Linked DNA regions of Macaca fascicularis. The protein of the gene in region 1 interacts with the protein of each later gene in a biochemical or structural test. Links are inferred from orthologs where the notes say so. Each region holds a gene or a part of one and is shown on either strand. Other genes may lie near its edges.

Evidence for each region.
Region 2: the proteins of UBE3A (region 1) and ESR1 form a complex in vitro, tested with the Homo sapiens proteins (2 studies listed by BioGRID, with this or other methods). The link is inferred for Macaca fascicularis from reciprocal best matches to the Homo sapiens genes UBE3A and ESR1.
Region 3: the proteins of UBE3A (region 1) and UBQLN1 form a complex in vitro, tested with the Homo sapiens proteins (2 studies listed by BioGRID, with this or other methods). The link is inferred for Macaca fascicularis from reciprocal best matches to the Homo sapiens genes UBE3A and UBQLN1.
Region 4: the proteins of UBE3A (region 1) and UBE2D1 form a complex in vitro, tested with the Homo sapiens proteins (12 studies listed by BioGRID, with this or other methods). The link is inferred for Macaca fascicularis from reciprocal best matches to the Homo sapiens genes UBE3A and UBE2D1.
Region 5: the proteins of UBE3A (region 1) and UBE2E1 form a complex in vitro, tested with the Homo sapiens proteins (2 studies listed by BioGRID). The link is inferred for Macaca fascicularis from reciprocal best matches to the Homo sapiens genes UBE3A and UBE2E1.
Region 6: of the proteins of UBE3A (region 1) and FAF2, one has a biochemical effect on the other in vitro, tested with the Homo sapiens proteins (2 studies listed by BioGRID). The link is inferred for Macaca fascicularis from reciprocal best matches to the Homo sapiens genes UBE3A and FAF2.
Region 7: of the proteins of UBE3A (region 1) and RAD23A, one has a biochemical effect on the other in vitro, tested with the Homo sapiens proteins (9 studies listed by BioGRID, with this or other methods). The link is inferred for Macaca fascicularis from reciprocal best matches to the Homo sapiens genes UBE3A and RAD23A.

What each region holds. Positions count from the first base shown.
Region 1 is NC_088381.1:3,748,096-3,752,056, reverse strand, and holds the end of UBE3A (ubiquitin-protein ligase E3A), read right to left. Parts: intron 3,876-3,961; coding exon 3,732-3,875; intron 2,921-3,731; coding exon 2,800-2,920; 3' UTR 989-2,799; downstream 1-988. UniProt on the Homo sapiens protein: E3 ubiquitin-protein ligase which accepts ubiquitin from an E2 ubiquitin-conjugating enzyme in the form of a thioester and transfers it to its substrates.
Region 2 is NC_088378.1:59,861,070-59,865,259, reverse strand, and holds the start of ESR1 (estrogen receptor), read right to left. Parts: upstream 2,801-4,190; 5' UTR 2,709-2,800; intron 1-2,708.
Region 3 is NC_088389.1:114,293,605-114,298,035, forward strand, and holds part of UBQLN1 (ubiquilin-1), read right to left. Parts: intron 3,168-4,431; coding exon 3,052-3,167; intron 88-3,051; coding exon 1-87. UniProt on the Homo sapiens protein: Plays an important role in the regulation of different protein degradation mechanisms and pathways including ubiquitin-proteasome system (UPS), autophagy and endoplasmic reticulum-associated protein degradation (ERAD) pathway.
Region 4 is NC_088383.1:88,326,482-88,330,652, forward strand, and holds the start of UBE2D1 (ubiquitin-conjugating enzyme E2 D1), read right to left. Parts: upstream 2,801-4,171; 5' UTR 2,605-2,800; coding exon 2,581-2,604; intron 1-2,580.
Region 5 is NC_088376.1:24,547,510-24,552,730, forward strand, and holds the start of UBE2E1 (ubiquitin-conjugating enzyme E2 E1), read right to left. Parts: upstream 3,267-5,221; 5' UTR 3,135-3,266; intron 1,981-3,134; 5' UTR 1,948-1,980; coding exon 1,796-1,947; intron 1-1,795. UniProt on the Homo sapiens protein: Accepts ubiquitin from the E1 complex and catalyzes its covalent attachment to other proteins. Catalyzes the covalent attachment of ISG15 to other proteins. Mediates the selective degradation of short-lived and abnormal proteins.
Region 6 is NC_088380.1:183,346,223-183,351,108, forward strand, and holds the start of FAF2 (FAS-associated factor 2), read left to right. Parts: upstream 1-1,728; 5' UTR 1,729-1,751; coding exon 1,752-1,814; intron 1,815-4,886. UniProt on the Homo sapiens protein: Plays an important role in endoplasmic reticulum-associated degradation (ERAD) that mediates ubiquitin-dependent degradation of misfolded endoplasmic reticulum proteins.
Region 7 is NC_088393.1:13,350,182-13,353,728, reverse strand, and holds the end of RAD23A (UV excision repair protein RAD23 homolog A), read right to left. Parts: intron 1,856-3,547; coding exon 1,691-1,855; intron 1,609-1,690; coding exon 1,495-1,608; 3' UTR 898-1,494; downstream 1-897. Other genes in the region: GADD45GIP1 (large ribosomal subunit protein mL64), read left to right, coding at 9-333. UniProt on the Homo sapiens protein: Multiubiquitin chain receptor involved in modulation of proteasomal degradation. Binds to 'Lys-48'-linked polyubiquitin chains in a length-dependent manner and with a lower affinity to 'Lys-63'-linked polyubiquitin chains.

The DNA.
Region 1 (3,961 bases):
GATTATACAGTGGCCCATGGAAGTGTGGGAGGGGTACAGATGGCCCTTAGATAGACACTGGTGGAAAGTCAGAAAAAAAAATTGCGGTAAGCAGGTAAAGGGATCAAGAGTACACAGGAACTGGTCTTGGGACGACATTTCTTTCTCTGACAGTTTGTATGGAATTCTTGGGGAAATTCCTCAAAGGGGCCTGGAATCTCAGAAGGGTCATGTTTTTAATGGGAACAGGGAGTGATGCTGCCCCATTACAACCATCTGTTCTAACAGAATGTCTGTACCGAGGAGGGATGAATAACAGCAAGGTCTGTTTGAAGCCTCATTTTCAAGTTTCTTTTTGATATGGATCTCCCTATACAAGCAAGCATCCCCAAAAGTAGTTATCTCAGGAAACCAAGGTTAGGATGACCAGCTCATTTGCTGGAGCTGCCAAGGTCCAGAAAAGTTTGGCTGCAGGCTGTTTTCATGTTTTATGTTTGAAATGTTCTACAATGAAAGTTAAAAAAAGTTAGCATTTATTTGGAAAACCAGTTACTTTAGTTTATGGTTCCTTTTTTTCCCTCCAGAGCTTCCTGGAGATTGAGGTCTAATTCAAAGAAAACCAAACTATACAATAGAGTACCTGGGCAAAAAAGTACTTTTATAACATAACATTTGGGGTAGAGGAAGTATCCACTATCGTCAAAACTTCTATGTTTTCCTCTTCCTTATTGTTCAGGGACATTCCATGCAGCAAAAGTAAGGGGAGTGACAACATGCCTAGCATAATTAAGCAAGCTAGAGCAGCTAGTCTGTGCAACTGATGATTTTTTCCCTCTAAAATTTTAAGGGTAGGTTCATTGTGACTCTGTTAGAAGTCTACTTGATGTGAATTCTGTATCTGATAACCTATTTCAATTATCACTTTAAAATTTGTCATATGGATACATTATTACAAAATCATAGAACTTCAGTACCGTAATAATAAAACTTGAGAACTGAAGAGCACACATTTCTTCACGAATTTATTATATAAAACGCCCTCAGAGTATTTAATTTCTCCTCACTTTAATTACACATTAAGAAGCACAGTGGATGAGAAGCCTTTAAGATGACTACAGTTGCACGAAGGTCCCTTTCATCAAGGTAGCGTACGTACCTTAACAGTGTTCTAAAGGCTGGCCCAGAAAAACCCCATGTTACCTTATCACAATATGGAAAGCATTGTCTTCTTTTTCCACTAAATTATGGTGAAAAGTGCCACAGTTTTATTTAGCATTATGGTACATAACAGTTCTGTCTCAATTATGAAAAAATTAAAATAATCCTGAAAGACATCCTTTTTCTCCCCCCAATGATTTGAAAGCTGCATTTTTCCTGCCAATTTCAAACAAATCATCAGGTTGATCTACAGTAATCAGTTAAAACAATCACCAAGGCACAAGCTCAGCACATTAGCTATAGCTTGTAGCAAAAGGATATATCAATGTCTCACCTTAGTTAAAAATACATAATCCTTTTATTTTATAATGCAATAAAAGAAATTAACATCACATACACAGAAGACTAGGAAAGGGGAAACTACTTACTTCCGAAAATCCAGTAATGTAAACCTACTTGTACTTTTCCATAGTACATGAAAGTAATGTTTAACATGTTTTGAATTAAATTTAACCTGTGGGGCTATACAATGTAATTCTTAGGAGTAATAGTTTCATTCATTTCCAGGTCAGCTTACTGTATGATTAAGTAACACAAGGCACAGTAGCCATCTTTTTCATTATGTTGCAACACTGATCACGTGCCTCGATAAAATGGCTGATTCAACAAGATGATGGCAACACGAAGGGGAGACTTTGGATTGTCTATTTAAAATCTAGGTAATAAGTAATTAATAAAAACTCTATCTTAAGTGCACTTTCACATGCTTTTTGTTTATAATAAACAACAAACTTCCTAACTTTGTTGCAATAGGCTTGACTACCATTTCATTTGGCCAAATGCACTTTCCCCAGTAAACTTAAAATAACAAGAACAACAAGAACAAAAATCCCTGTCCTTTCATATACTAAGAGGATTGGCTACTGAAACAGTTCATTGCAAGACACATGAAGACAACATACTGTGGCATGAGTTGTTTTTTTAATTTGTTGTGCTGTTACTAAAGTTCTGAGGGCTGCAGTTAAAACATTCCAATTTCTCCCTTCCATCTTTATTGATTCTCAAGATTTTGCACAGAAAACTCTTTGGGGGCTAGAACAGCAGTAATTGCATCACACTGTTTCAAAGACTTCAAGTTTCAAAAGCAAATCATTAAAAAAAAATACAGTTCCTGATTTGAGTTAGATACAGGGACAAAAAAGTAGCACATACTTGAAGGTTACATGGTCTACAAATGGTGGCAATATTTTTCTTGGGAGAGTAGTTCTGTTGGTATATATTTTTTAAATACTCAAAAGGCTCAACCTCAAGCAGTAATAAACACAAGCAAAAGTGATTTAACCCTTAAAATAAATATTCAGAAAAACCTCTCTGTACATACAAGTGAAAGAATATGTAACACTTTCACGCAAAAAAATAATTATAATAATAATAAAGGATTTGTTCATATATGTAGCTGAAATCTGCTGTTCCAGCCCACATGTCCCCAAGAAAGAAGGGAGGCACAGACAGAGGTGACTACTGTGGTTCACTATCTTACAGCCTTTTTGTACTGGGACACTATCACCACCAAACATTTATCCCTCTTGTTATATTTTTAAAATTTTTTAAATTTTTTCTTTTTTTTTTTTCTTCCTTTTTTTTGTTTTATTTTGTTTTGTTTTACAGCATGCCAAATCCTTTGGCATACGTGATGGCCTTCAACAATCTCTCTTTAAGTTTTTCTTTGCTTGAATATTCCGGAAGTAAAAGCACATTAAAGCAAGTATGAGATGTAGGTAACCTAAATAGAGAAAAGGGGAAAAAACAGGAAAATAATAAGTCATGGGAAATACACTTAGAATTATATATAGTTGAGATGGTTTGCAATGCCAACTATACATTAATGCAAATCATAAACTTTTTGTTGTGTAACTACCAAGAATCAGTTTGTCTTTATCCTATAAATTACTCAAAGCTAGTAACAATGATGATAAGATACTTATCCATTGAGTTTTTACTACATACCAGATACCGTTTTAGGTATTTAATTATTACAGTTCATTTCACTAAATCTTTTTCCACAACAAAACCACAGAGAGGACATCAATAAATGCACTTCAGAGGTTAGGTCACTGAGAAGTAACTTCCTCTAAGGTGGAGAAAATATTCAAACCTGGTTTACAACATTTCAAACTGTGTGCTCTTAAATGCTTATTAGAAATACTGCTGGCAATATGACTATGAAAATGATTTGATAACGGGATTCTAGCATAATCGAATGATAATCTTCCAAGCCTCAATGTAACCATTCTAAATAGATTATCATGTAACATGGCTTTCAACTAACAAGCTGGGAATCAAAAAAGTAAATGAATCATACTAATTTGAAAAATTCCAAACCAATGTGAGTCCCATAATAATTTTTAACTAGGGCAATTCCTTAAAAGTTTCCTCACACAATGACAGCAAAATATTTTCTCAATTGTCTAATATGATTTCAGGATTTGTACATAAAATCACAAAGGTGCTTAGAAACTATAAAGACAGTTCATATGTGTGTGATGAGGAATGCAAGGTTTTCAGTAGGTATAGAGTCACCACTTAATCATTACCTTTCTGTGTCTGGGCCATTTTTGGCTATAATCATCTTTAATTTTCCTAGTCCTCCCACAGGTGCTCTGTCTGTGCCCGTTGTAAACTGCAAGAAGAGTCTTTTCTGTTCATCTGTAAATGAATGAACGATTTCCCAGAACTCCCTAATGAGAAAAAATACAATACTGGTTTCAGTTTGGCATTCATTATGACTGGTACTAATATAAGCTTATGATTTGCATTTAAACTA
Region 2 (4,190 bases), on another chromosome or scaffold:
ATAGATAAATGGGAACACCAATTCAATAGCATTCATTAGCCATGAGAAACTCAACGGTAAAAGGCCATAAGCAACTCAATGCTATAAAGGACTGGAGATTTGCATCATTGGACAATCAAATGGGAAACCACTTTATCAATGGAACTTTGCAGGAGGAACAACGGAACCAGAAAAGTGGGGAGCTCTTGGCTGACTCCCAGTAGGAAAGACCTGTCACTAGGACTAGTCATCTCCTCTAATGGTCAATACTTACCTTAGCAGGGCAGGCGCAGTGGCTCATGCCTGTAATCCCAGCACTTTGGGAGGCTGAGATGGGCGGATCAGCTGAGGTCAGGAGTTCGACACCAGCCTGGCCAACATAGTGAAACACCGTTTCTACTAAAAATACAAAATTAGCTGGGCATGGTGGTGCATGCCTATAATCCCAGCTACTCGGGAGGCTGAGGCAGGAGAATCACTTGAACCCAGGAGGCGGAGGTTGTGGTGAGCCAACATCATGCTACTACACTCCAGCCTGGGCAACAAGATCGAAACTCGGTCTCAAAAACAAACAAGCAAACAAAAAAACTTGCCTTAGCATATCTTGGTTTAGTCTCCTTGAGCTTCCTTCTTCTAAGCCTTAGCCTGGCCATCTTCAGGAAAACCTGTTCTTGCTTATCTATGCCTACATGTAATATGATATTTAAAACCTGGATTTAGACTCAAACTTGGCTGATTTACCAGCTCTGTGATCTTAGTTAGACATATGAATCTTCTAAGCCTCAGCTTCCTTATCTGTAAAGCAAGACAAATACTCTCTTCCCACAGGTGTGTGGGAGGATTAAATGAGATAACTTTGATACATTTAGAACAGTTATGCACCAAACTCTATTCTAAAGACTGCTGTTTATCTTATGGAGTCAATATCATCATTTTGTTTTCCATCCCACATAACAGTTGGATGCCAATATGAAGTGTATATTTATAACTGAGAATCAACTATTTTTACTGAATGAGGAATATTAATGAGAATGATTTTAACCAAAACAGCAAACGATGGCACTGGTGTGCTGTGTGTGAGTGAGAATAGCTCAGGAATACCAGAGGGGAAAAGGATTTCAGAATCAATAAGTACTTTTGTGAGCTATTTCACAAAAATGACATGAAAGAAAATATTTAGAGATACGGAAAAGGTCAAACTAACCTGAAACTCAGTTTTATTGACAAAAGTTTAAGTTACCTTTAGCATATTTCATCATCCCATAATCAGGACCATCAATAAATATTTACTGAGTGCCTACTGCAGTCAAGACACTGCAGTGTGGGCTGCAGTTAATGTCCAGGTGATGGGAGAATTGCTTAGAAGTACGAGCAATTGTACTTTCCTGGATGACTAAAATCTAATTGGAGAGTCAGGCATAGCATAAAAATAAATCTATAGAAGAAAAATCAGTAAACAAAAGTAGCCTACAAAATTTTCCCATGTTTTTTGGGATGCACTTATATGGCTTTAAATTTTAAAAATATTTTGAAATATAAAGCTTAAAAGAGTGAACAACTCGGGTCATCATACTTTTTTTTTTTTTTTTTTTTTTTTTTTTGCCAGAACCTCACTAGAGGAAGATATTAGATTGGATGATATGAAAATGTCAATATTTAACCTTTTTTACATCCAAAAAAACCCCAAAATTTCATGTGGTTCAACCTTGATTTCAGTAAGCTATTTCTGAAAGCTGGATACATGTTGAAATATGAGTAACATTTGCAGTCCATCTACTCTGGACTCATGCTAATTCCTTCTGGGGCCTTTTCAGATTCAAGATAGATTCGCAGGAAAAAATGCATAATATTTAAACTGACGGACTGGAAAATTAGCATGAAAAGTTCACCAGTGTTATGGAAAATTTCACCCAACACATTTCGTAAAGAACAAAAACCTAAACACACATGGTAGATCCACTTCAGCAAATCATGTTAGTGCAGCAACATTATCCAACAATAAAATTTTAGAACAATTTTCTCCCCAAGGGACTCATTTTCCTTAGAAAATTATGCAAAGTGTGAACAACTGTGAAATACAATTGTCACCCAAAATATTTAACTTGACAACAGATTGAAAACTGTTACAATGTAATATAATTTACAATGACTAAAATTTTAATTTTAATGGGTAGTACCCATAAAAGTTGTCTAGTTTAATTAATTTCCCTTTTTCATTGGTGCTGTGGGTCTTAAATTTATATTTTGCTACATCTTTATAAAACAACTTTAAATTCCCACACATTAAATTTCTCTACAACTGTCTATCTAAATCAGAGTTTTTAATGATAAAGACATGTGATGCCCCTGTATGAATAGACAGAGAAAAAATTAAAACGAACAAAAAATGTATTCCCCCTGTGTAAGATATAGACTTTTTTTATCATTGAAGACTTGTTTGGCTAACTTTACAGTCCAAAAATTCTCCTAATTTGAAAGATTGTCATTATAAATTAAAATCTCTGAAAACCTCCAGACTATGTATCAAGTCTTTGAAGATATCAACATTGTGCCCATATATATCCCATAGCCTTGCCTTGGTATCACCTTGTGAGACACAAATGTTCTTTCTATGGCATGTGCTTTTATCCTGATGTGTGAGGCCTTGGTCTGATAACCTCCTTACATAGTCATCTTAATATTCAGTTGCCCAAGGGAAAGTTAATAGAGTAGAAAAAATTAAAACTTACCTTCTTTGGTAGCTACAGAATATAATTCACAATCAAAGGGATTGGTATCAGATTTTGGAGATATTTGAGGCTCTGCGATTATTTCTCTGACTGCTTAGAACCTTAGAATCTACCAGAATAAAATCTATTAATCAAATATTTTTTTTGGACTAAGCTTACACAGTTTGTTCAGGCATTGTTAGCATGTCTGGAAGAGTCATCTCTGCTTTCGGGAAAATTACGTTGACTGAAAGAAAGCACAAAACAATCGTCTCAAAACCGTCAGTAATTTTTCTAAAGGATGTCAAATGTGCACTTCACAGCGAGGGAAAATGTTGACCAATACTGTTGTTTGTGATAAATACATCACATCCTAGTGAAAATGTGGTATAGCAGGTAACAAGTTTCCATTCTGTGCACTAGAACTGAAAAACTGTACCTAGAAAGGATATTCTGAAAAATACTAATTATAGGGACAAAGCCTTAATATTCTTAATACAAACAGCTCTTAAAAGTCTATTTTAAAAATGGAACATGTGAACAGAAAAACTAATAAAAATTTACAAAGGACAAAATAATGGAGACCAGTAAACATAATTTTTAAAGGTCACTGTTAATTGGAGAATTTCAAATTTTTAAAACTGTGTGCTATCAGGTTTTAAATATTTATGGTGGTTATAATGTAGGAAGTAAGCATTCTCAAACACTGCTGGCGAAGTATAAAATATTACAACCTTCCTAGAGCACTATGACTTTATTCAAAATCTTAAAATACTCAAAGGAAAAAAAAGAGCTTTCTTTCATCTACAGTTCAAAATAACATAACTTAAAACTATATTATTCCTAGGCCTATATATAACAAGACATCTTCAAAATGTTGCCTTCTTATGCATGAATATGATGTAATTCTACTTATTTAGATCTTCTTTAATATTTCTCAAGAAAATTTTTCCTCTAATAAGTTTTTCTACATCTTATGTTAGATTTATTTTCTAATGTTATTGTCTTTTTTCTAGTATAGTGAAATGACATTGACTTTTGTATATTAATTTTATATCCTGCCTTCTTGCTGAGCTCTCCTACAATTTCTAATAATTTATCTGAAGATTCTTTGGAGTTTTTTATGTAAATGTATATATCATCTGAAAATAATTAGTTTCATTTCTTCCTTTTCAATCCTTATATCTGACTCTACAATTCTCTAAATTTTTGTCATATATATTTTGAGGCAGCTTAATTGGGTATGTATACATGTTTAGAATGGATATTTCTTGGTGAATTGAAACTTTAACCTTATGACTTCCTCTATTACTATAATGTTTTTTATCTAAACATGAGCTTTATCTGATACTAATACAAATGCACCAGCTTTCCTTTGTCACTCTCTGCAGATTTTTCCATCTTTTAATTTTCTGGTTACGTGTATATGCTTTAGGTATGTTCACACGAAAAACATATATCCAAATTTTTTAAATCTCATTTAATAGTTCCTTTCTTTCAACT
Region 3 (4,431 bases), on another chromosome or scaffold:
GTTGTCGCTGCATCTGACTCTGGAGTTCAGAGAAGTTGGTAGTATTCAAACCCAAGCTACTCAGACCTGCAAGTCCCCCAAGGCCACCTAAGAAGACAAAGGGCAAAAACATACAAACCAAGTCAGAAAATTTATCATTAACATGACATAAACTATGAAGATGCAAAAAAGTATTAGTTGACCCAACAGTCTATCACAAGAAATCATTTAAAAACAAACCGAATACCTATTACTAATATTTAATTCCTATCATTGAAATTAGCCAAAAATTTACACTTTGGTTATTAAATTTAAGTAATAAAATCAACAAAATATATTTTCATGTGTGTAGTATAATACATAAATATATTTGGTCTTTCTCCTTGATCCTGAGTTACTAAAACCTTTGGAATTTTCTGAGTGACAGGAGTATCTTTTATTATTCATTACAAGCCCTTTTTGAAAATTATGCTAATGAAGTGACTTAGGCCCCTGGATAGCCTCAGAAAGGAGCTGGGCACCAGAAAGACAAAGTGATTAAAGGGCTGAAGCTTTCAGCCCCACCCACCAAGAAAGTGAGGGAAGGGAGCTGGAGATAGAGCTCTATGCAAATTCTTGAACAATAAGATTAAGAAAACTCAACATGAAAAGCATATCTGAGTGTTAGGAGAGTTGTGCGCTGAGGGGACCTGGAACCTTTGAGCTGAACTTCCATGCCCCACATACCTTGTGCCCTTATAATTCTCTTTCAAGATTTGTCTGTTTCTGAGTTGTATCCTTTATAATAAACAGGTAAACGTATAAGTGTTTTCTTGAGTTCCAGGTGCCATTCTAGCAATTATTGAACCTGAGGAGGAGGTCAGGGGAACCCCCAATTTAGAACTGGTCAGTCAGAAGTACAGGTGGCCTAGAACTTGTGACTAGTATCTGAAGTAGGGGCAGTCTTGTAGGACTAAGTCTGCTAACTTGTGAGATCGGATACTAACTGTAGGTAGGCAGTATCAGAAAAGAAACTGAATCTTGGACACAGAGCTGGTGTTGGACAACTGGCTGGTGTCAGAAAAAAACACTCCAGAATATGCCAGCTAAAGGAAGAAATAATAAATACACACACCAGACTATAGTTCTAATAATCTTTCCAAAAGACTAGTTTAAGTTCTATTAACAGGAAGCAGAATTCACCTATAAACTCTGGGTACAAGAGGGCTGATACTGCCAATCAAGGATACAGAATGCCAGGGAACACTTGGAAATAGATTTCTCTTTGGAGGACTTAAACCAAGGAGAAACCTAACAGAGCAACAGGATGACCAAGTGCTTACTTTGGTAATCACAAAGTGTTTACTTTGTAAAATTACATAACCAACCAAATGCATTCATTCCTCACTTACTAAGCACTTTTTATATATGCCAGAGACTGTGCTACACATGTATTGAGAATAAGGCAAAGAGAAAGACATTCTCAGAACTCAATCTAGTGGGAAAGACAGACAAGAAAATAAATGTCTACACAGATGTTAAGTACTTCAGTAAAGAATATTCACAGGATATTATGGTAATATAACCTAAGTGGAATGCCTACTTTCAGAAGAAGAGACAACACTTAATGAGTCTGGAGCATAAATACTTTGCAAGGAAACGTAAAGAAGGTTAGGAGGGGGACTGAATACTAGGCACAATGAACACCATATACAAAAAGCACAGAGATAAATGTATTAATGCATTCTTGAAACCACAAAAACTTCAGTATGACTAACTACAGTAGCAGATTGCAGTGCTCACCAAACATTTCATTTTGCAGCCTTATTATTTCTTTTGCACTTGGACAGGCCTATGTGAAATGCCAAAGGACTACAAGAAATGGTATGTGCCACTTCTGGTCAAAGTATAGCAGGTTCAACTTAAAACCCTTTAGCTGTCTCTTCTGCCATGTTCCAAACGGTAGAGCTATAATACAGCAGAATGAAAAACGACTTTCATTACCTTGAGTCTCTGAGGGACTATATGGACGGGCACCTTACAAACCGGTAAAAAGCAAGTAGCATGCAGAAAAATGTAGCAAGAAATGAAGCTTTGTTGTAATAAGCCACTGAGTTTGGCTATCTATTATCAAAAGATAATGGATAACAGCACTTCGGGGGATCACAAGGTCACGAGATCTACACCATCTGGGCTAACACAGTGAAACCCTATCTCTACTAAAAATGCAAACAAATTAGCCGGGCGTGGTGGCACACTCCTGTAATCCCAGCTACTCAGGAGGCTGAGGCAGGAGAATCGCTTGAACCCGGGAGGTGGAGGTTGCAGTGAGCCCAGATCACGCCACTGCACTCCAGCCTGGGCAACAGAGCAAGACTCTGTCTCAAAAAAAAAAAAAAAAAAAAAATCTTCCACAGAACCTCAATATATAAATCTAATACAGGCCAGGCACAGTGGCTCACATCTGTAACCCCAGCATTTTGGGACGCCAAGGCAGGACGCCATAAGCCAGGAGTCTGAAGCTGCAGTGAGCTATGATGGCACCACTGCACTCTAGCCTCAGTGACTGAGCAAGATCCTGCCTCTCTTAAAAAATAAAACAAAACTAATATAATAAAAGCAAAAGCAGTTTTAGGCTAGGCTGGCTTCCCAGACCCCTTTCCATGTGTTCAGGACAGTTACAAAATAACTAATGCAGTCTGATTCTTTCCTTTTACTGATGAAAAAATTATGATTCAGGGACGCTGGCTTATGATTAATAACCAGCTAACAGAGCGAGATTCCGTCTCAAAAAAATAAATAAATAAATAACCAGCTAATCTTACTCATACTAAATTATGTGGTAGTCAGATCAGGTACACACACACTACATCTCTTTCATTATTAAAAAGAAAGGCACCAACTGATATGTAAGAATATCCATATCCCTACCTATTTCCTTAATATCTACAATTATAGGAATATATAAGTTTTTTTTTAAATTTTTGTTGTTAAAGTGACATAACGTTTTCTTTTCTCATTTTATCTGAAGCTACCCAGGAAGGGAAAGGAGTATTTTTTCCCATCCCTATGGAGATGACTAAAGACACTTACCTAAACCAAAAGGGTTGCTAGTAGCAGAACCAGATGTGGAGTTACTATTAGGAGTTGATGATGTGGTAACATTGCTTCCAGCGGTATTTGTTTGCTGAGCTGAATGATCCTGAGGCCTAGGGAAAATAATTAATCACAGAGTAAGCAGTAGAGCTGATTATTTTTGAAAGAACCACTGAAATCCTGACATCTAGAAATAAAGAGTAAACTCTCAGATGAAATCAAATTATCATTTAATAAAAAGCCTGAGAAAACTAAGCGTTAGGAACAAAAAGTACAAAATAAAATAAAATCCTGCAAAATACAAAATATGCTGCAATTGCCCCTCCTCTCTGAGTATAACGTACATAAATATTTCATTAGTTTTAATCATATTGCTTATGTAACAGAGGGAGATAGGTTATTTCATAAGAGGGAAGTCAGTAACCAGTTACACCCACAAAGTTTGACTATATAAAAAACTTCTTTATCTTGGCCAGGTGTGGTGGCTCACGCCTGTAATCCCAGCACTTTGGGAGGCCGAGGCAGGTGGATCGCCTGAGGTCAGGAGTTCAAGACCAGTCTGGCCAACATGGTAAAACCCTGTATCTACTAAAAATACAAAAATTAGCCAGGAGTGGTGGTGCATGCCTGTAATCCCAGCTACTCAGGAGGCTGAGGAAGGAGGATTGCTTGAACCTAGGAGGTGGAGGTTGTAGTGAGCCAAGATTGTACCACTGCACTCCAACCTGGGCGACAGAGTGAGACTCTTTAAAAACAAACAAACAAAAAAACCCACAACTTTTTTATCTATCCCCTTCTAGTTTTTGAGGGTTATGAGCCAGTTTTACTAAGGCCCCTGAAATTCTTGAAAACAATAAAAAGTGAGAGTTCACCAAAAGAAAGTCAATCAATATGATTAATAATTATTACCTTTTTTTTTTTTTTTTAAAGACAAAGTCTTGCTCTGTCACCCAGGCTGGAGGTGCAGTGGCATGATTTCGGCTCACTGTAACCTCCCCCTCCCAGGTTCAAGCGATTCTCCTGCCTCAGCCTCCTGAGTAGCTGGGACCACAGGTGCACATCACTGTGCCGGGGCTATTTTTTGTATTTTTAGTAGAGATGGGGTTTCACCATGTTGACTAGGTTGCTCTGGAACTCTTGACCTCAGGTGATGGCCCTGCCTCACCCTCCCAAAGCGCTCAGATTACAGGCGTGAGCCACTGTGCCTGGCCTGATTATTATTTAGTATTATCTCTAAAAGGAAATAAGCCAGGCAAGGTGGCTCACACCTGTAAAGCCAGCACTTTGGGAGGCCTGATCTGAGGTCAGGCGTCTGTGACGAGCCTGGCCAACATAGGGAAACCCCATCTCTATTAAAAATACAAAATTAGCTGGGCA
Region 4 (4,171 bases), on another chromosome or scaffold:
ACAGGCCAGAACATCAGTGGTTCTCAGTCTTCTTTCCACCCCAACCCATCTGAGGGATTCAACACCTCTCCATTTATAGAAGTGACGACAGTCTGAAAACGTCCCTCAGGTGATTCTAAGACACTACCCTAGAAGCTGTTCCCGTGCTGGTACCCTCTAGTACACTACGGCAGACTTATCTGAGGTTCCACACAGCTCTACAGTCTGCAACTTTAGGTACAGGAAAACTATAGTAACACTTCAATAGGAGCTTAGGAAGAAAGGCCAAAAGTTAGTATACATCTTCATTTGTTGGAACATGAAAGATTCAAATAAGAATGTCTATACTGATGACATCAAAGAAGAAGATGGTATAACTGTTCATATGGCAGGCGGCACAACTGACCTAGAATTGGCTTCTAATCAAGGAGGTAGATAAAGGAGGAGGAAAAATAGGGAATCAATCAAAATAATCACCCCTAAGGTTTGAGGAAACGGTCTGAATGTGTGATTAATGGAAAGACTTGTGTAAGTTAACTTGCCTGATATCAGAAAGGGAAGCCAAAGATGAACGCACAGAGATGTGATGGTATATGATCCCAATTTCTTCTCCAAAATATCGATTTGTCACATGTTTGATATCAATTCCATGTAAGTAATTTTTTTTTTCTGAACAACTCTATAAACTAATAACCAATAAATACTAAAAAGAAAAGATTTGGACACACACATTATAAATACAAATCAAATACACCAGTTCAGCATGGTGATTGACGAGAACTGCCAAGTATGGTATTTACAAACAATGTTCATATTTCTTTGAATATCCACTTACTGTGGACAAATTGCACAGCATTTAAACGCTATTGTTATAGTTGGGTATGGTGACTTGTGCCTGTAATCCCAGACTCTCTGGAGGACAGGAGTTCAAGACCAGCATGGGCAACATACTGAGATCCCCATCTCTTAAAAAAACACAGTGATAATTTAAAAAGCTCTTGTATGTGCAAAATCATGTGAAAAATTCTCACAACTAGGAAAGAAGGAAATAGAATTTGAAAACTTCCTTGGAAGATGTGCATTTTCTGATCCAAATGTGAACCAATATTACGTCGTCATTAATAAGTATGCAAGTTATGGTAAAGAGGCCGACTGAGGCTTCAAAATTAGGATATTTATATAAAACAACGTGTAACTGAACTATCTTCAAACAAGAAAACATTATAACTTAATAAATGCTGATGCTGATTGTTAACTGTATGTTTTACAATGAGACGACCTTTAAATGGGACAAAAAATAACAGGTGATCAACAGATTTAGAATTTGAAAATAAAAAACTGGCAGGCTCTAAAAGTTGCTGTCCTCTGTACCTAAAGATGCCACTAGTGGCTAGTCAGAATACAATGTGTACGTCACTATCACTCTCTAACATTTACTATTGCTATAATGGACTACTGGTCAAAAAAGTAGATAAAAATGTGGGCATTAATTTCTTCTGAAACAACTACAAAATACACTGACCATTGTTGCTTAACTTAGTGAAAAGCACTCCCTATTTAACAAACACATTCTCAATGTTCCCAGTGTGAACTGTAACTGTAAAACCTAAAACTTGGGTCAGTACACAGACCAACAAGAAATAAAAATGAACAGAAAGAAATGCCCGAATATCAATTCTGAAGGATGTTCGCTTCTGAAATGGTGGCAATAAATACTGTGAAAAAAAGACAATTCCACACACAGGGTTGAGATGGGTGAACAGTTGTTGGATGAAGATACATATTTCTTCCTCATTTTATACCCATGTGTCAAAGCATCAAAACAATCTATTTGCGACAGTTTATGTTGTGTCTCGAACTTTACATCTAAGTTTACCATGAGGGGCAAAAAAAACCTGTTTGGCTTGACTCACCGTGAATCACAGCCAGGAGGTCATCTTGTTGTGTATCAGCAACTATGTTTTCGCTACAGCTATGTGACCTGAAGTGGCAGCAGCAGAGGCACCAAAATAGAAGGGGCAGGAGCCTTCTCTTGGCTTCTTGGCCGCAAATGGGCTTTCCAGCCCATTCGGGCAACTGAGCAAGAGCCAACCGCAGAGGAGAAAGAACCAACCCGACAGCTCCGCGGAGAAAGGCTGCAGGCCCACCCCACCTTCCGTGCCCTCCCGGGGAGCCCGGGTAAGCAAGAACATAAAAGAGACAGGCTTAAGAAACAGCCTGGAGAAAACACAGCATGACAGGGGTCAAAACTAGCCTCATGGAGGGCAAAACCCAGCCGTGACCGTGAAGCACAGATTTCGGGGCGGTCTGGACGCGGAGGAGGCTCTCTACCCTGGGGCTCCGGGAGCGGCCCCGGCGCGAGCGCGCCACGGGCCCCCAGCCTTCAAGCTCCCCCGGCCGCCTGGGATCTGCCCCCGCTCCCACCTAACCTGTCCGGTGCCCGCTGGCCGGGCCCGAGCCTCCAGCTCCCTGCCCGCACCCCGGCCCACCCTTCCATCCCGTGCTCTCCCTGCATATCTCTCGGGACCACTGGCCGAGTCAGCGTGGGCAGGCGCCGCTGCCCTGCTGCCCCGCAGCCCCAGGCCCGGCCCCGGCACTCACTTTCTGAATCCGCTTCAGCGCCATGGATCAGGGATCGCGGTGGGGACACCGGCCGGCAGGGGTCGGCTGCGGGGCTCGGGGGCGTGAGTCTTCGCGAGTTGGGCTCGCTGGCAGCTCAGCTGGCTCCGCGCGGTGGGTCCCCGGTTCGCCGCTCCCTGGCTCGCTCCGGGCGCCGGTCCCTGCTCCGTCTGCGCCCGAGCGCGAGTGTGCGCGAGTGTGCGGGCGGGGAGGCCGGCGAGACTCTTTTGTTTCCGCTTTTGCTTCTGGGAAGGAGCCTGCGCCCTCCCCGCCGCGCCCCGCCCCGCCTGGCATACTGGGAAGTGTAGTTCCAGCCCTGTCCTCGGCCGCAGGCCCCCAGACGCTGCCAGGTTACTTGCTGCTGACCTTAGCCAGGCAGCTTAAGGTGAGAGCTGCCGGGTGCTGGAGTTAGTCTCTACAGTCTCATTTAGAGCAAGTTACTGAACCTGGGGCTGCGCATCTGTAAAATGGGGATAACAAATGAGCTCCTAACGCACATAAAGGAATTTCTAAATCATCAGTTAGTAATTCCTTATCCAATAGGTGCCACAGCTGGTTTTATTATATTTACCTTTAAATATTTCACTGTCTTTTCTCAAATATATGAATTATCTCAATTACTCACCCAGCACACATGCACAAACTCATATCTATCAGACCCCTTACTTACCTCCTTGGTTCTTACTGCAGAGGAAAAAGGTGTCTCTTCTGTCCAATGCACAGATCTTCCGTGTCTGAGTGCATTGTCTGCTCATAGGTATGCCCCTCCCATAAATTACCCGCTTCGAACACCGAGTTCAGAGCTCTCACTCCCATCGTTGACTCCTTCCCTTCCATTGACAGTCTCTGACTAATAGTCAACGCACACTCCCCACTCTCCAATTCCTGGGCACTTGTGTACCCATTAAAACTTGGCTTCTTGGCCGGGCACAGTGGCTCACGCCTGTAATCCTAGGGCTTTGGGAGGCTGAGGCGGGCAGATTACCTGAGGTTGGGAGTTCGAGACCAGACTGGCCAACATGGTGAAATCCCATCTCTACTAAAAATACAAAAATTACCTGGGCATGGTGGTGGGCGCCTGTAATCCCAGCTACTCAGGAGACTGAGGCAGGAGAACCGCTTAATCCCGGGAGGCGGAGGTTGCAGTGAGCTGAGATGGAGTCACTGCTCTCCAGCCTGGGCGACAGAGTAAGACTCTGTCTCAAAAAGGAAAAAAAAAAAAGTGAAAACATCAACAGATGTTGGTGATGCTGAGGAGAAAAGGTAACATTTATATGCTGTTAGTGGGAATGTAAATTAGTTCAGCCATCGTGGAAAACAGTTTGGAGATTTCTCAAAGAACTTACAACAAAACTACCATTTGACCCAGCAATCCCATTACTGGTTATATATGCAACTGAAAACAAATTATTCCACCAAAAAGATATATGTTCTCACATGTTCATCAGTACTATTCACAATAGCAAAGACATGGAGTCAACCTAGGTGCTCATTAATGGTGGATTGGATAAAGAAAATGGGGCATACACTGTGGAATACTATGCAGCCATAAAAAAGAATGAAATAATATCCT
Region 5 (5,221 bases), on another chromosome or scaffold:
TTTTTTTTTTACCTTTTGCTATTAACCTTAGGTCTGCTTTAACACTAATAGCTACTCTTTCAGCAAGATTATCAAGGAGCTAAATTCATTGCAAAAACAAAACAAAAGCACTGATGTTAATTTATAGGTAAAATTACTATTTGTAGCTTCCCACCTTTCATTTTTCTACACCTACCATCTCTTTTCCAGAACTTCCAGATAAATTTTTAACTTGTTTAAAATAAAAGGACAAAGTACGTCTAGTGAAAAAAATCCCCCTCTCTGTAATTCACTCACAATAAAAGCAGAGTATTTTCTAGTTGATAACTGGGTCTTTACCCCCAAATATATTCATGTACACCAGGGATATCCAGCAAAATATAAAAATGCAAATTACCAAAAGCAAGTATCCCGGCTTGAGCACGTGAGGCCAAAAAGTGAATGAGGATCAAAGAGCCTAGAGGATTGAGGTGGGGGGCAGTGTTAAGGAAGGGCCTGTCCCAAGTGGGCAGAGTAGATGCCAGGTTCCAGGAAAACCGCACAGGGCTAATCAGTGAGGGTCAGTTAGGCCTCCTGAGAAGCTGTACAATCAAACCAAACCTATAAAAATGAGAACAATCTTGCAGAGGCACCTTGCCACTTAAGACCTCCACACTATTTTTAAAAAGTCACTCATTCATCAGCTCATGGTTAGGTCACCAAAACACTGCCAAGTTTTCAAATTACAAGTCAGGCAAAATGACAGAACAAACTCTCAAACCCTGACTTTCAGGCTCACTACTCAGTGGAGAGATCTAAAGTCTCATGTTCCACTTTATTTTAAAAATTTTTAAGACGGGTATCCCTATCTAACCCATCATTTGGACTTCTTACTATCTTCCTGGTTTGCCACCTTTTTAACAACTGCCTAACTCTGATAGCAGAAGGATTTATGAAAGGGTGTCTCAGGGCTCCTAGGAATCCACTAAAGATTATTTTAAGGGTCATGGCGATCAGAGGATATTACTGAAGGATGGCAGGAGTAACAAGTAGCTACCTCCAGAGCCTTAAGAGGAAAAGAATAAAGAAAAAGAGAGACTGCTTAAATTGAAAAAATAAAGCAACGTAACATTTTCACAGCATGAGGACAGCAAATAGCATGAAAAAAAGACAAGTTTCCCTGAAATTTGGTAAACTGAAGTTTTTAAAGAGAACAAAAGAGAACCACAAAAATAACCTAGAATAACTATTTTATAATCACTTACTGATTCATTCATTTGCCTCAACTCTCAGAAAAATCTCTTTAAATTCCACCATAAAACACGTCTTCACCTACTCAATTTTGTACCTGCTAATACGAGTTTTATTCCTTATGCAATTTGTGAAGAAAGCTCTATTTAGAAAAGATCATCCATGCAACAGGTGAGGAGAAGGTAAAATGGTCACAGAATTCATTTTGATGCAGTTGTCTGGGCTGGTATTAGTAATTAAGAAATGGGATGATGGCCTTGGGGAAGGTCACAGATCGACCATTAGTAGGACAAGAAATCTGAAATCAGATTTGGGGGTCACTAATAAAAGTAATGAAGATTCTTACAAACTTCAGCAAGAAATGCGAGAGGCAAGCCACAATAGCTGCATGTGAGCAATGATTAAAAAAAAAAACAGAAGCAGCAATAGAGAAAATAATTAGGGCTTCCAAGGCCCTTCTTTCATTTTTAAGAACACATAAACCATGAGGAGCGTTTAAGCTATCCTCATTGGGAGGCAGACCAAATGCAGCAAGAGGCAGTTCGGAAAATAGGAAGCCTATGGAAAAAAAAAAAGAGTACGGTACCTCTTGGCGCTGGTGGAGAGGAGTTTGGAGTTTTTGCTCATGCTGACTTTACTCTCCTTCTTCTTGGGGGTGTTTGTTTCTTTCTCGGTTTGCTGGTTGGAAGACGAAGATGAGGAGGAGCTGGTGCTGGCCCTCGAATCGTCATCCGACATAGCGAACCCCCCACCCCACCCCGCAAACAGCCCCTGCAGGGGGAGGGAAACAAAACAGAAACACACAAACCATGCAGCCAGTGTAAATAAGGAACTCAGGTGCTGTCAGGAGGGCATTGACCAGGGGCGCACGCGGCCGCCCACCGCCCTCCACTCGCTTTTCAAAGTCTGCAGGCCCATTAAGGCTTTTGCAAATCGGACGCGGCTTGTTTATTTTTGGCCCCAAGTGGGGAACGCTGTGGGAAAACGGTCTGGAGCTAGGAGAGCGGCCCCTCCCTCGCCCCCCGGGGCTCTCCGCTGGGCAGGGAGGGAGTAGCCCGGGAGGCGAAGGAGGGCAGGGCGGGGGCGCGGGGCGCCACGGCGGGGCAGGGAGGGAAGGTCCCGGCAGCCGGCCGGCCTCGGGGCTGTTTTTGTCCGCTTTCCGGGGGTCGTGGGGTGGGGGGCCGGTGGCCCGGGTGAGAGACTGTGGGGCCACGAGAGGAGTTTGGCGAGGTCGGGAAGAGAGGAGGGGCGGGAAGGAGTAAGAGAGGAAGCCGAAACAGGGGGACGGAGGCGGGGAGCGGGTGCCCGGGTGGGGGAAGGGAGAGGCCGGCGGGGGGCACGGGCGACAAGGCCCGAGGCCCCCCCGCGCCGCGCCCCGACGCCCCTCCCGGCCTGCCTGCCTCTGGGCCGCCCCGCTCACGGCTGCGCGGCCGGGAGGGGGTCCGGAGCACACGCCCGATCGCCACTCCTGGAGGGGGATAGGGGCTGCGGCGGGGAGTGGGGGGGGGGTCGGCCTCCGCAGCGAAGAAATAACAATGAGCCCTTCCGCCCCGGAGGGGTTAATCCCCGTGAGCCCCCGCCCCTGGGGAAAACGGGGCTCCCCCAACTCCCCCCCACCCCCGCTCCCGGCCCCCTCGGTGGCCAGTGGGGGGCTCTTGGGGCAGCGCTGACAGTTCGAGCCACAATGACCCCCGCCCCCGATGCGGGCGGCCCCCGCACCCCAAGCGGCCCGGGGTCCCTGCCCATCCCCCGCGGGCGGGCCCCGGACCCCTGGGGCTCCCCAGCCCCTCTCCGCTCCCCCCTCCGGCCCCGTGCCCGGCGGCCCGGCGGCCCCGGCGGCGCGAGTCGGGGGAGGCGGCGAGGGGTGTCCCCGAGGCCCGGCGGCGCGGCCGGGGGGCGGCGGGCCGCTGGGGGGATCCCCGTACCTCTCTTTGTGTCTGGCTCCTCCGTGCCGCCGCGGCGGCTGCTGCTGCGGCTGCGGCTGGGCCTGGCCACTCGTGTCTCTCTCGCTGGGAGAGAAGCGGAAGTGCAGCAACAGCAACTATTAAACAGGCAATGGCTTCCCCCAGCCACACACGCTCGCACACACACCACTCCTCCGCCGCCGCCGCCTCCTCCTCCTCCTCCTCCTCCTCCTCCTCCTCCTCGCCCTCACCCCTCCCCCACCCGGCCCGGTCCCACCCACCCTCGCTCCCCTCCCCCTGCAACACCTCCTGGGGGTGCGCGAGGAAGACCCAGGAGACCCCAGGAAACCGTGCCCCCCCCCACACCCCCACCCCAGCGCCTCCTCCGGACGCCCGGGAAGGGGGCGAGGGGTGTGAATTTTCTCTTAAGTGGTTTGGGAACCTGGATTCTGGGCGGGAGAGGGGAAGCCAATGGAGATGGGGTCGCTGGGAGTGATTGGAACTGGATGGAATAGGGGGGTCACGAGAGAAAGTTCTTTCCAGTGAGGGCTTTTGGAAAGGAGAGGGGTAGGGAGGTGGCAAATTGGTGGAAAAGATGGTAATCTGGTGGTGGCAAAGACTTTAGAGAATGCAGCGGGAACTCCACCTAAAAAGCGATTAAAGAGAATAAAAAAATCACACAACAGGGGTTTTCTTTGGACTGACACTTGCTTCTCCTTCTAGCAATTTACCTGCTAGGAGCAGAGGTCAGTTTAGGCACGCCTGTGAGAAAATCCCAAACCAGGAATTTTCTGCTCAGGTCACGCGAGGCACGTGCAGTTTTACAATATTAGATTCTTCCAGTCACTTTTTATAGAAAGTGATGTGGTTTTATAAGAGTGATACAAAGGTTTTGGTGACAGGTAAAACCAACGTGTAACGGGGCTTGCGAATGTGAGAAATCACTGGGTATAAGCTATATACTACTGAATTAGACTGGATTTAGAATTTTTGGTGTCATTTTACATTAGATACAAGGTTTGGTTTTTGGAAATTGGATGGAAAGTTCTGGGGATCGCAGTGCTTTCGTTAGCTACATATAAATGCTATTCAAATAATATTTTTGAAATGATCAGCAGTTCTTCTGAATTGTTCCTTATGTAGCATTTTTGCCAAATTTGTTTTTTTAATATTAATCTGTCAAATTACGATTTAGTTTCTCACGTATTTGTCATTTCAGTTGAAGGGAACTGAAGAGATGTGTGCCATTCAGATACACCAGTGCCACACATACAAGGTCTTGTACATTAAGGAGACAGCCTCAGATTTCCATAGCTCACTCTAAATTATCTCATTCAAACTGCCATCATTTTCCGCGCAACAGTGGCTTCAGTTACTACAGGACAACACAAGATATACGCCCATGGCATATCCAGTAACCAGGAAAACAAGCATTCTCACGACCCAGCCGAACTGCTTCTTACCATCAACCTGAAACTCCAGCTTTATCAAGACTCATAAAGTAATTGTGCATGCTTCTTGCTCAATCCCTACCAGGAAACCTGTATCTGCCAGGAGTTGTCACAGAATAAGAAGTTCAAAAGCTGGGCGATATCTTCAGGGTCATAATTTCAGCCTCCTGCTTCCAGACAGAACTATTTCTCCACCACTGAAATGCATATAGATTTTGAAAAAGTCTCCAGACGTAACCTTTCTTAAGTGTTTGGTTCCAGGAGTCGTGGTAGAGTATATAAAAATGATGACGTCTCTGCTGTGTATTTGAAACATTTTTTAAACTTCTGAAAAACCGATTGTATTTTTGTTCTGATGAAAAGGTGTAAATTCAGGAGAAAACAATAAGCAGATGAAATAAACTCAGGATGAAGAAAATAATCTAAAAATAGTTATTAAAATTGAAATTTCCTCCTATGAAAATTTGGATTTCTGATACTTAAAAATATATATCCACATGATGAATACAACCAGTAAAGTCATGTGTTATAAAGACAAGAACTAGCAGAGATCACAGGAAAATAAAAGGCTTGATTTGCTGAAGTGATCAAGACAGTAGCTGAATTTTTTCTTTAATATTGGTTTGCATAAATTGAATACCAGCTATAATAATAATT
Region 6 (4,886 bases), on another chromosome or scaffold:
CTAAGTCAAAAGAACAAAGCTGGAGGCATCACGCTACCTGACTTCAAACTATACTACAAGGCTACAGTAACCAAAACAGCATGGTACTGGTACCAAAACAGAGATATAGACCAATGGAACAGAACAGAGTCCTCAGAAATAATACCACACATCTACAGCCATCTGATCTTTGACAAACCTGAGAGAAACAAGAAATGGGGAAAGGATTCCCTATTTAATAAATGGTGCTGGGAAAATTGGCTAGCCATAAGTAGAAAGCTGAAACTGGATCCTTTCCTTACTCCTTATACGAAAATTAATTCAAGATGAATTAGAGACTTAAATGTTAGACCTAATACCATAAAAACCCTAGAAGAAAACCTAGGTAGTACCATTCAGGACATAGGCATGGGCAAAGACTTCATGTCTAAAACACCAAAGCAATGGCAGCAAAAGCCAAAATTGACAAATGGGATCTCATTAAACTAAAGAGCTTCTGCACAGCAAAAGAAATTTCACGTACTCTTCACAGAACCAGCGCTGAAAGCCTTTTCTGTCTCACCAGATCAGCCTTGCAAGGGGATGAGAGTGGGGCGCAGGCAGCTGAGAGCCTTGCTGGGAATCACACAGGTCGTCCGTGGAAAAGCGTGTACCAAGACCCAGGCCTCTCTGGAAGGTGGGCAGAGGAGGCGTTCGGAGGCAGAGGTGGAAATGAGAACAGGAAATCTAAAGAGAGGTGGCGGACGAGAAGGGGCAAAGGACGTGCAGAGGAAGATAGAGATTGAGGGATGGTGATAGGGCAGTGTAAGCAGCAGAAGGGAAGGGCAGGAAACTGCCTCGAAGAGAAGGGGCAGCGGCAGCACGTCAGGGGCTCTTGGTGAATCTCATTCAACAAATGGCAAAATGGAGCCCAAGTGGTTTGCCCAAGGATGTCCAGCACTTGGCAAGGTGGCAGCTAGAACCCGCGTCTCCTAATGGCGGTCCAGGGATCTTTCTTCGCCTGTCACAGGGACAAGGGGCCAGTGCAGCGCTAGTGCGGAGAGACAAGACTCTAGGCACGGAAAAGCAGACGCCGGGCCGGGGCTCCAGCGCTGCAACCACGGCGGTGGACGGAAAGCTCTGCCGACGGCTGGGGGCGCCATGAATCGTCGAGGATCCGGGGAGCCCAGTCCAGCCCTTCCTAGCAAGCGACCGCGAAGCGGCAATGGGACGGTGGTCGAAGCCTGCCCACAGCTTCCGCTTCGAAGGCGGCGTTGGAAATGCCGCGCCAGTATCCTTCGGCACCTCCCGAGAGATGGTCAGGAGCTTTTGGAAACTTTAGGTCAGGGGCCAAAGACCAAAAGGCTGGTATTTCGGAACGGCCACATCTCCTGAGAAACCTCCAAGAATAACAGGTTGCCGGAAAAAGGTTAGAGAGCAGCCGAAATCAGCCGAATGCCATTCGGGGGCTCCGGAGTTTCTCGAGGCACATTCGGGCCCTCTCGGCTCTGCAAGACTCCACTGGAATCTCAGGTCTCGAGCAGATCGTTTCGTCGCCTAAAGGGTAAGGGCGACTTGTACCGACAGTCCCTCGGCAGTTTCCGGAGGTGTTCGGGATAGGCCCGAGCGTGGCGCCCTCTGGCGGCGACCAGGGGTGGGGTAGGGGTTAGTGGGCCAGCGCGCGCAGACGCAGCTGCGCGCCGGCGGTCGTTCAGACCGGATGTGGTTGTGGCTGAGGTCAGTTCCGGCGGGTGACGGTGCGGACGGGTCAGGAGCGTAGAGGCGGCGGCAAAATGGCGGCGCCTGAGGAGCGAGATCTAACCCAGGAGCAGACAGAGAAGCTGCTGCAGTTTCAGGTAGCAGCGAGTACTCGGTGCAGCAAATGCCTCCGCGGGATGGGGAGTGGGCCCCTAGAGGAGTTCAGAACTTTCCTCAGATTGGGCTCAGATTCTTCTTAGACCAGCAGGCCGACCCCCTCCCCCCAGACTCCAACTGCCCTGATTCCCCCGGCCCCCAAGCCTCTGTTGGTCCCTATCCTTCCAGCCATCGCTGCGGCCAGACCCGCCTCGTTTGTGCTTCTGTGCCCTCAGCGTGTCAGCTTCCCTGGTTTCCCTTAGCGGCGTCAGTCCTCAGCCATCCTTCCCAGCCCGGTTATCGGTCGGACCCTCTCCGCCCAACGAGTCTGTATCTGCCGGAGACGCTTAATCCCTACCGCGGAGTTGGCGTCAGTTCGGGTCTCTGACAGAAAAACCTCCTGCCAACATCCCATGCCATTTCCACAAACATTCCCACAAACTGAGGCCTCTTGGATACCAGGTTTCGTGTTGGGGGTTCCGGTCGGGAAGGGGGCATCTACACACAGACCTGGTCCCCGCCCTAGAGGTGTGGGAGGACACCAAGTGAGAAAACAATGCAAGGTGCTAAGTGTCATCAGTGGCTTCTGACGGGATTTATTACTTTTGGCTTATTCCTGGATTCCTGTGCTTCACTATGCTTGAGGAGGGTGGTAACTTGCAGGAATGTTATGTTAATACAGGACGTCGTATTAAGAACGTTTGCCACTAATCACTTACCCTTGAGCTGGAGAATGGTTGGAGATACCACTAGGGTGGGTAACCTTGGCACTTTGTTACCAGTTTCTTATCTCTGAAGAGACTGTCTTAAAAATATCTACCCCCAAGCCGGCCGCGGTGGCTCACGCCTGTAATTTCTGCACTTTGGGAGGCCAAGGCGGGCGAATCACGAGGTCAGGAGTTCGAGACCAGCCTGGCCAATATGGTGAAACCCTGTCTCTACTAAACATACAAAGATTAGCCGAGCATGGTGGTGCACGCCTGTAGTCCCAGGTACTCGGGAGGCTGAAGCAGGAGACTCGCTTGAACCCGGAAGGCGGAGGTTGCAGTGAGCCGAGATCGCACCACTGCACTCCAGCCTGGGCAGCAGCAAGAGTGAAACTCCGTCTCAAAAAAAAAAAAAAAAAAAAAAAAAAAATCTACTTCCTGAGGATGTTCTGGAGATCAAATGGACATATGGATGTCAGAAGGGCCTTGTGGACTGTAAAATGCCCCCAAATAGTATTTCTGCTATTAATTTGACTTAGGATAGACCTAACGTTATTGATACACTTATTTCCTTATATAAAATGTGTAAATATTCATTTATTCAGCTATATTTATGAAGAACCTTAGTGCTCAGCGCTGCTAGGTGGAATCCCACTTACTATTTCAGATGTAAGTGCTTTGTAAACTTAGTGTACATAACCTCATTTAATACAACAACCCTATGAGGTTCATACTGTTACAGTCGCTGATTTACAGATGAAGGGTATCAGGACCAAGAAATAAAATGCTTAGGTTACACAGCTAGAAAGTGATGATGTCAGATTTAAAGCTATGTCCATCTTCCAGAACCCTTCCCAGGCTTCTGACTTCTGTCTTGTACAACTTGTATGTCAGTGTACAGTTGAGTGTGGAATGCAGATGCTGAGATAATAAATATTTTTTTGGCGAGTTCTCACTTTTCTGCAATTTCCTTGAATAGACTTCACTATAATAAATTTTGAAGTGATTATTTTTTTCCCCTCTTAAATTGAGCAGTGGGTTGGAAGTGTATAAATGGAAAAATGCTGTCGTAGATGTAATTGACATTTGATTGGAATTTTTGGTAGAGAAATTGAATTGATGACCCAGCAAATTATAATTAAAGAATGAGTAAACAGCAGACAACCAGCTTACACTTCCATTACACTTCCAGGTAGACCACCAATTTCAGAGTGTTGTTTAACTTTGGCAGACCATTTTACCCCCTAGAACTCTTCAGGGGTAAGCTAACATGTTGTTTAAGTGCAATGAAGCAATGTGAGTTATGGTATCTTTAGTCTCATACTGGGAGAGCATGAATATGAATATATGATAGCATTTCTGAAGTAAAGTGCATAGGAACTTCCATCTTATCTTCTGTGGAGTTTTTTTTTTTGAAATGGGGTTTCGCTCTTGTTGCCCAGGCTGGAGTGCAGTGGCGCGATCTCGGCTCACTTCAACCCATGCCTTCCGGTTTCAAGCCATTCTCCCGCCTCAGCCTCCCGAATAGCTGGGACTACAGGCACGTGCCACCACACCCAGCTAACTTTTTGTATTTTTAGTAGAGACGGGGTTTCACTATATTGGCCAGGATGGTCTCGATTTCTTGACCTCATGATCCACCCGCCTTGGCTGGGATTACAGGCGTGAGCCACTGCGCCGGGCCAGAACTGTGGAGATTTTTATTAGAAGAGAGGTGGGTAGCAGGTTTGAGCTGTATTAAGATTGCCTTATGAAACTGGATTTATTGAGGGAAATGCATCTTTTTTTTTTCCATTCTATAAGCAATCGCTGGATCAGATTCATTATCCAGATTGCCATTAAACCAACATTTGTTGAAACTCACTAGATGCCAAGCATTATACCAAGCATCAGTTGATGTTCATTAACTCTTTTTTTAAGAAAAATATTTTAGGCTGTGTGCGGTGGCTCACGCCTGTAATCCCAGCACTTTGGGAGGCCGAGGCGGGTGGATCACCTGAGGTCAGGAGTTCAAGATCAGCCTGGCCAACATGACAAAACCCCGTCTCTACTGAAAATACAGAAATTAGCCAGGCATAGTGGCACATGCCTGTAATCCCAGCTATTAGGGGGACTGAGGCAGGAGGATCGCTTAAACCTGGGAGGCGGAGGTTGCAGTGAGCCGAGATCGTGCCACTGCACTCCAGCCTGGGCAACAGAGCGGGACTCTGTCTCAAAAAAGAAAAAAAAAAAAAAAAACTTTAAAAGTAGAGATGGGGGTCTTGCCATGTTGTCCAGGCTGGTCTCGAACTCCTGCCTCAGCCTCTCACAGTGTTGAGATTACAGGTGTGAGCCACCACACTTGGCCCCTTAACTCTTTTAAATCTT
Region 7 (3,547 bases), on another chromosome or scaffold:
CCCTGCAGGGAGCAGCACATCGCAGAGTGCATGGCCAAGATGCCACAGATGATTGTGAACTGGCGGCAGCAGCAGCGGGAGCGCTGGGAGAAGGCCCAGGCTGACAAGGAGAGGAGGGCCCGACTGCAGGCTGAGGCCCAGGAGCTCCTGGGCTACCAAGTGGACCCAAAGAGTGCCCGCTTCCAGGAGCTGCTCCAGGACCTAGAGAAGAAGGAGCGCAAGCGCCTCAAGGAGGAAAAACAAAGACAGAAGCAGGAGGCGCGAGCTGCTGCATTGGCTGCAGCTGCAGCTGCAGCTCAGGACCCAGCAGCCTCTGGGGCACCCAGCTCCTGAGGCTTTGTCCCTTCCCAATAAAGCCTGCTACTTGGCAGTACCCCTGAAGAGATCTGTGTCCTCTCAAGGTGTGCCTCTCTGGGTCCCCTGGTTCCTCCTTCAATACTTAAGGGCTGGGGAATCCCCCACTTGGCTCTACTCAAAAGGGGACAGGGACTCTAGGCCCTGCTGACTAACTGGAGCTTCAGGGGGAGGAAAAGGGGGGTGCAATGGGCAAATAATGGAGAAGCAGATGGCAGAAGAGAAGGCGGCTTCTGTTTACCAACATTCATCTCCAGTAATTAGCCAATTACAGGGCTGGTGCAGGAGGGGGGAGTATAGCCAAAACAGACTGTGGTGATGATGGTGGGGGCTGGGGAGCAGCAGTCTTTGCAAGGTTGGGCTGGGGTCCACTGCCTGGAAATGGCACACTGGGGGAGGAGACACTGGGAGCCTCAATCTGCAGGGTCTCACAGACTCCTCTCCCCCTTCCCGGCACCCGTCACCATGCCTGCCTGTGCCCAGCCAGCCCCCAAACCCAGACAGGCAGGCGCGGGGAGCCCCAGCAGGTACAGACCATAGGGCTGGTTTTTAAAACTTTATTCACTTCAAAACCTTTATCAGAGACACGGTTCTGTTCTGGGGTGGGGGTGGCCTTGACACTGAGCTGATGTTAGCCCTTCTCCAGGCTGGAGGCCAAAGCCAGACTGGGGAGAGGGCCTTGGGCCTTTTAGGGCTTGCCCCAGATGGAAAGATTTGGGCAAAGTTTGGGGCTCCAGCTTCCTCTCATCCTAGAAGAAGATGGGGTGGGGAGGGGTCCTCGGGTTCTTCGGAGGATGGAGAGGCAAGCAGCCGCCTTTCCATCTGGCCGCAGGGAGCTGGGACAGAGGCCAAGAGGGGCCCATCTGTCGCCTCCCAGTCCTGCCAGCTTCTCTGAGCAGGCTGGGCTGGGGAGGAGGATGGGGGGACAGCTGTCTGGCCCGGGTCTTCTCAGACCGAGATGGGAACAGGGGCCACTTTAGGAGGACAGGAAGCTGGACTGTTTGCTTTTTTTTTTTTTTTAAGGTTTTTGATTTTTTTTTCCATTTCTTAAATAAACATGAATATATATATATTTTTCTTTTATAAAACTTTCATGGAGTAGGGGTAGGGTGAGGGCTTGGGTGGCCTGGCTTCCTGGCATCACTCGTCATCAAAGTTCTGACTCAGGAGGAAGTTGGCAGCCAAGTTCTCATTTTTTTCACACGCGAAATAGGCCTGGATGACCAGGCTCTCTGGGAAGCCTAGGGCCTTCAACTGTGGGAAGATGGGTTAAGTGTGAGCAGCAGAGGGTAGGGGTCCTGCCCACCCGCAGTCACCCCTCAGCCAGGCCTCTTACCCTCTCTATAGCTTCCTTCTCCTGCGGCGTCACCTGGATGTAGTTCATCTGCGGGGCCTCCTCTCCTATGGCGCCCACCTCCCCCTCCACATCTGAGATGTCCGCCAGCTCCCCAGGGGGCTCGTTCAGCATCTGGATGAACTGCTCCTGGTGCCGGCTGATTTGCTGCAGGAGAGGGTGGGGAAGGGAAGGTAATTCACAGCCCCTCCTCTCCCCAGGTCATCAGAGCCCTTGCTTTTTCATTCAGTCAGGCAAATATCCAGAGGAGCCTATTCTGGCCAAACACAACATAGCAGTCAACACAAGCCCTGCCCTGGAGGAGCTGATGATGGGCTTTTAAGTGAGCCAAGAAATAGGCCAGGCGTGGTGGCTCACACCTGTAATCCTAGCACTTTAAGAGGCAGAGGCAGGTCAAGATCACTGGAGGTCAGGAGTTCGAGACCAGTCTGGCCAACGTGGTGAACCCCCCATCTCTACTAAAAATACAAAAAGTAGCCAGGTGTGGTGGCAGACGCCTGTAATCCCAGCTAGTTGGCAGGCTGAGGCATGAGACTGAACCCAGGAGGCGGAGGCTGCAGTAAGCCACTGAACTCCAGCCTGGGCAACAGAGCAAGACCCTGTCTTGAATAAATAAATAGACAAATAGGCTGGGTGCAGTAGTTCACACCAGTAATCACTTGAGGTGATTTGAGACCAGCCTGGAGTTGGAGACCAGCCTGGCCAACATGGTAAAACCCCATCTCTACTAAAAATACAAAAATCAGCTGGGTGTGATAGCACGTGCCTGTAATCCCAGCTACTCAAGACGGCTAAGGCTAAGGTAGGAAAATCACTTGAACCTGGGAGGCAGAGGTTGCAGGGAGCTGAGATAGCGCCACTGCACTCCAGCCTAGGCGACAAAGTCTCAAAAATAGTAAGTAAGTGAGCCAATAAATGAACCAGACAACTGCAGGTGTCTGGCTAGGAAGGAACTGCAGACGAGGGCTGGAGGACAGGCCTGCAGTATAGGGGATGCAGAAGGTTTCCCCCAGGTAAAGCAAAGAGCAAGTGCAAAGGCCCAGGGTGGATGCATCTGGGAAGTCTCAGAAACAGAAGCAAGAACAGAGTGAATGTGGCTGGGCACAGTGCCTCACGCCTGCAATCCCAGTACTTTGGGAGGCTGAGGCAGGCGGATCACCTGAGGTCAGGAGTTTGAGAGCAGCCTGACCAACATGGAGAAACGCCGTCTCTACTAAAAATACAAAATTAGCAGGGCATGGTGGCACAAGCCTGTAATCCCAGCTACTCCAGCGGCTGAGGCAGGAGAATCTTTTGAACCGAGGCGGTGGAGGTCGCAGTGAGCCGAGATTGTGCCACTGCACTCCAGCCTGGACAACAAGAGCAAAACTCCATCTCAAAAACAAACAACAACAAAAAAACAGAGCGAAAAAGGGAAGGGGGAGGAAGCAGACAATGACACCAGAGAGGAAGGCCCAAGTCAGACCCATTTTCTAGAGCAGGGGGAAGCCACGATGGTGACAGTTACAGGGGAAAAGACGTGGTCTGTGGATCTTTTAGAAAGGTAAACTTGGCTGGGTGTGGTGGCTCACACCTGTAACCTCAATAATTTGGGAGGCAAGGCAGGAGGGACTGTTTGGGCCCAGGAGTTCAAAACCAGCCTGGACAACATAGACTGTGTCTCTATTCCCACCCACCAGCCACCAAACCAAAAAAAGTGAACTCATCTGGGTGTTGGGTTTAGGTATCTGGAAGTTCGTTTGTTCATTTTTGTTTCTGTTTTTTTTTTTTTTTTGAGACGGAGTCTCGCTCTGCTGCCCAGGCTGGAGTGCAGTGGCGCGATCTCGGCTCACAGCAAGC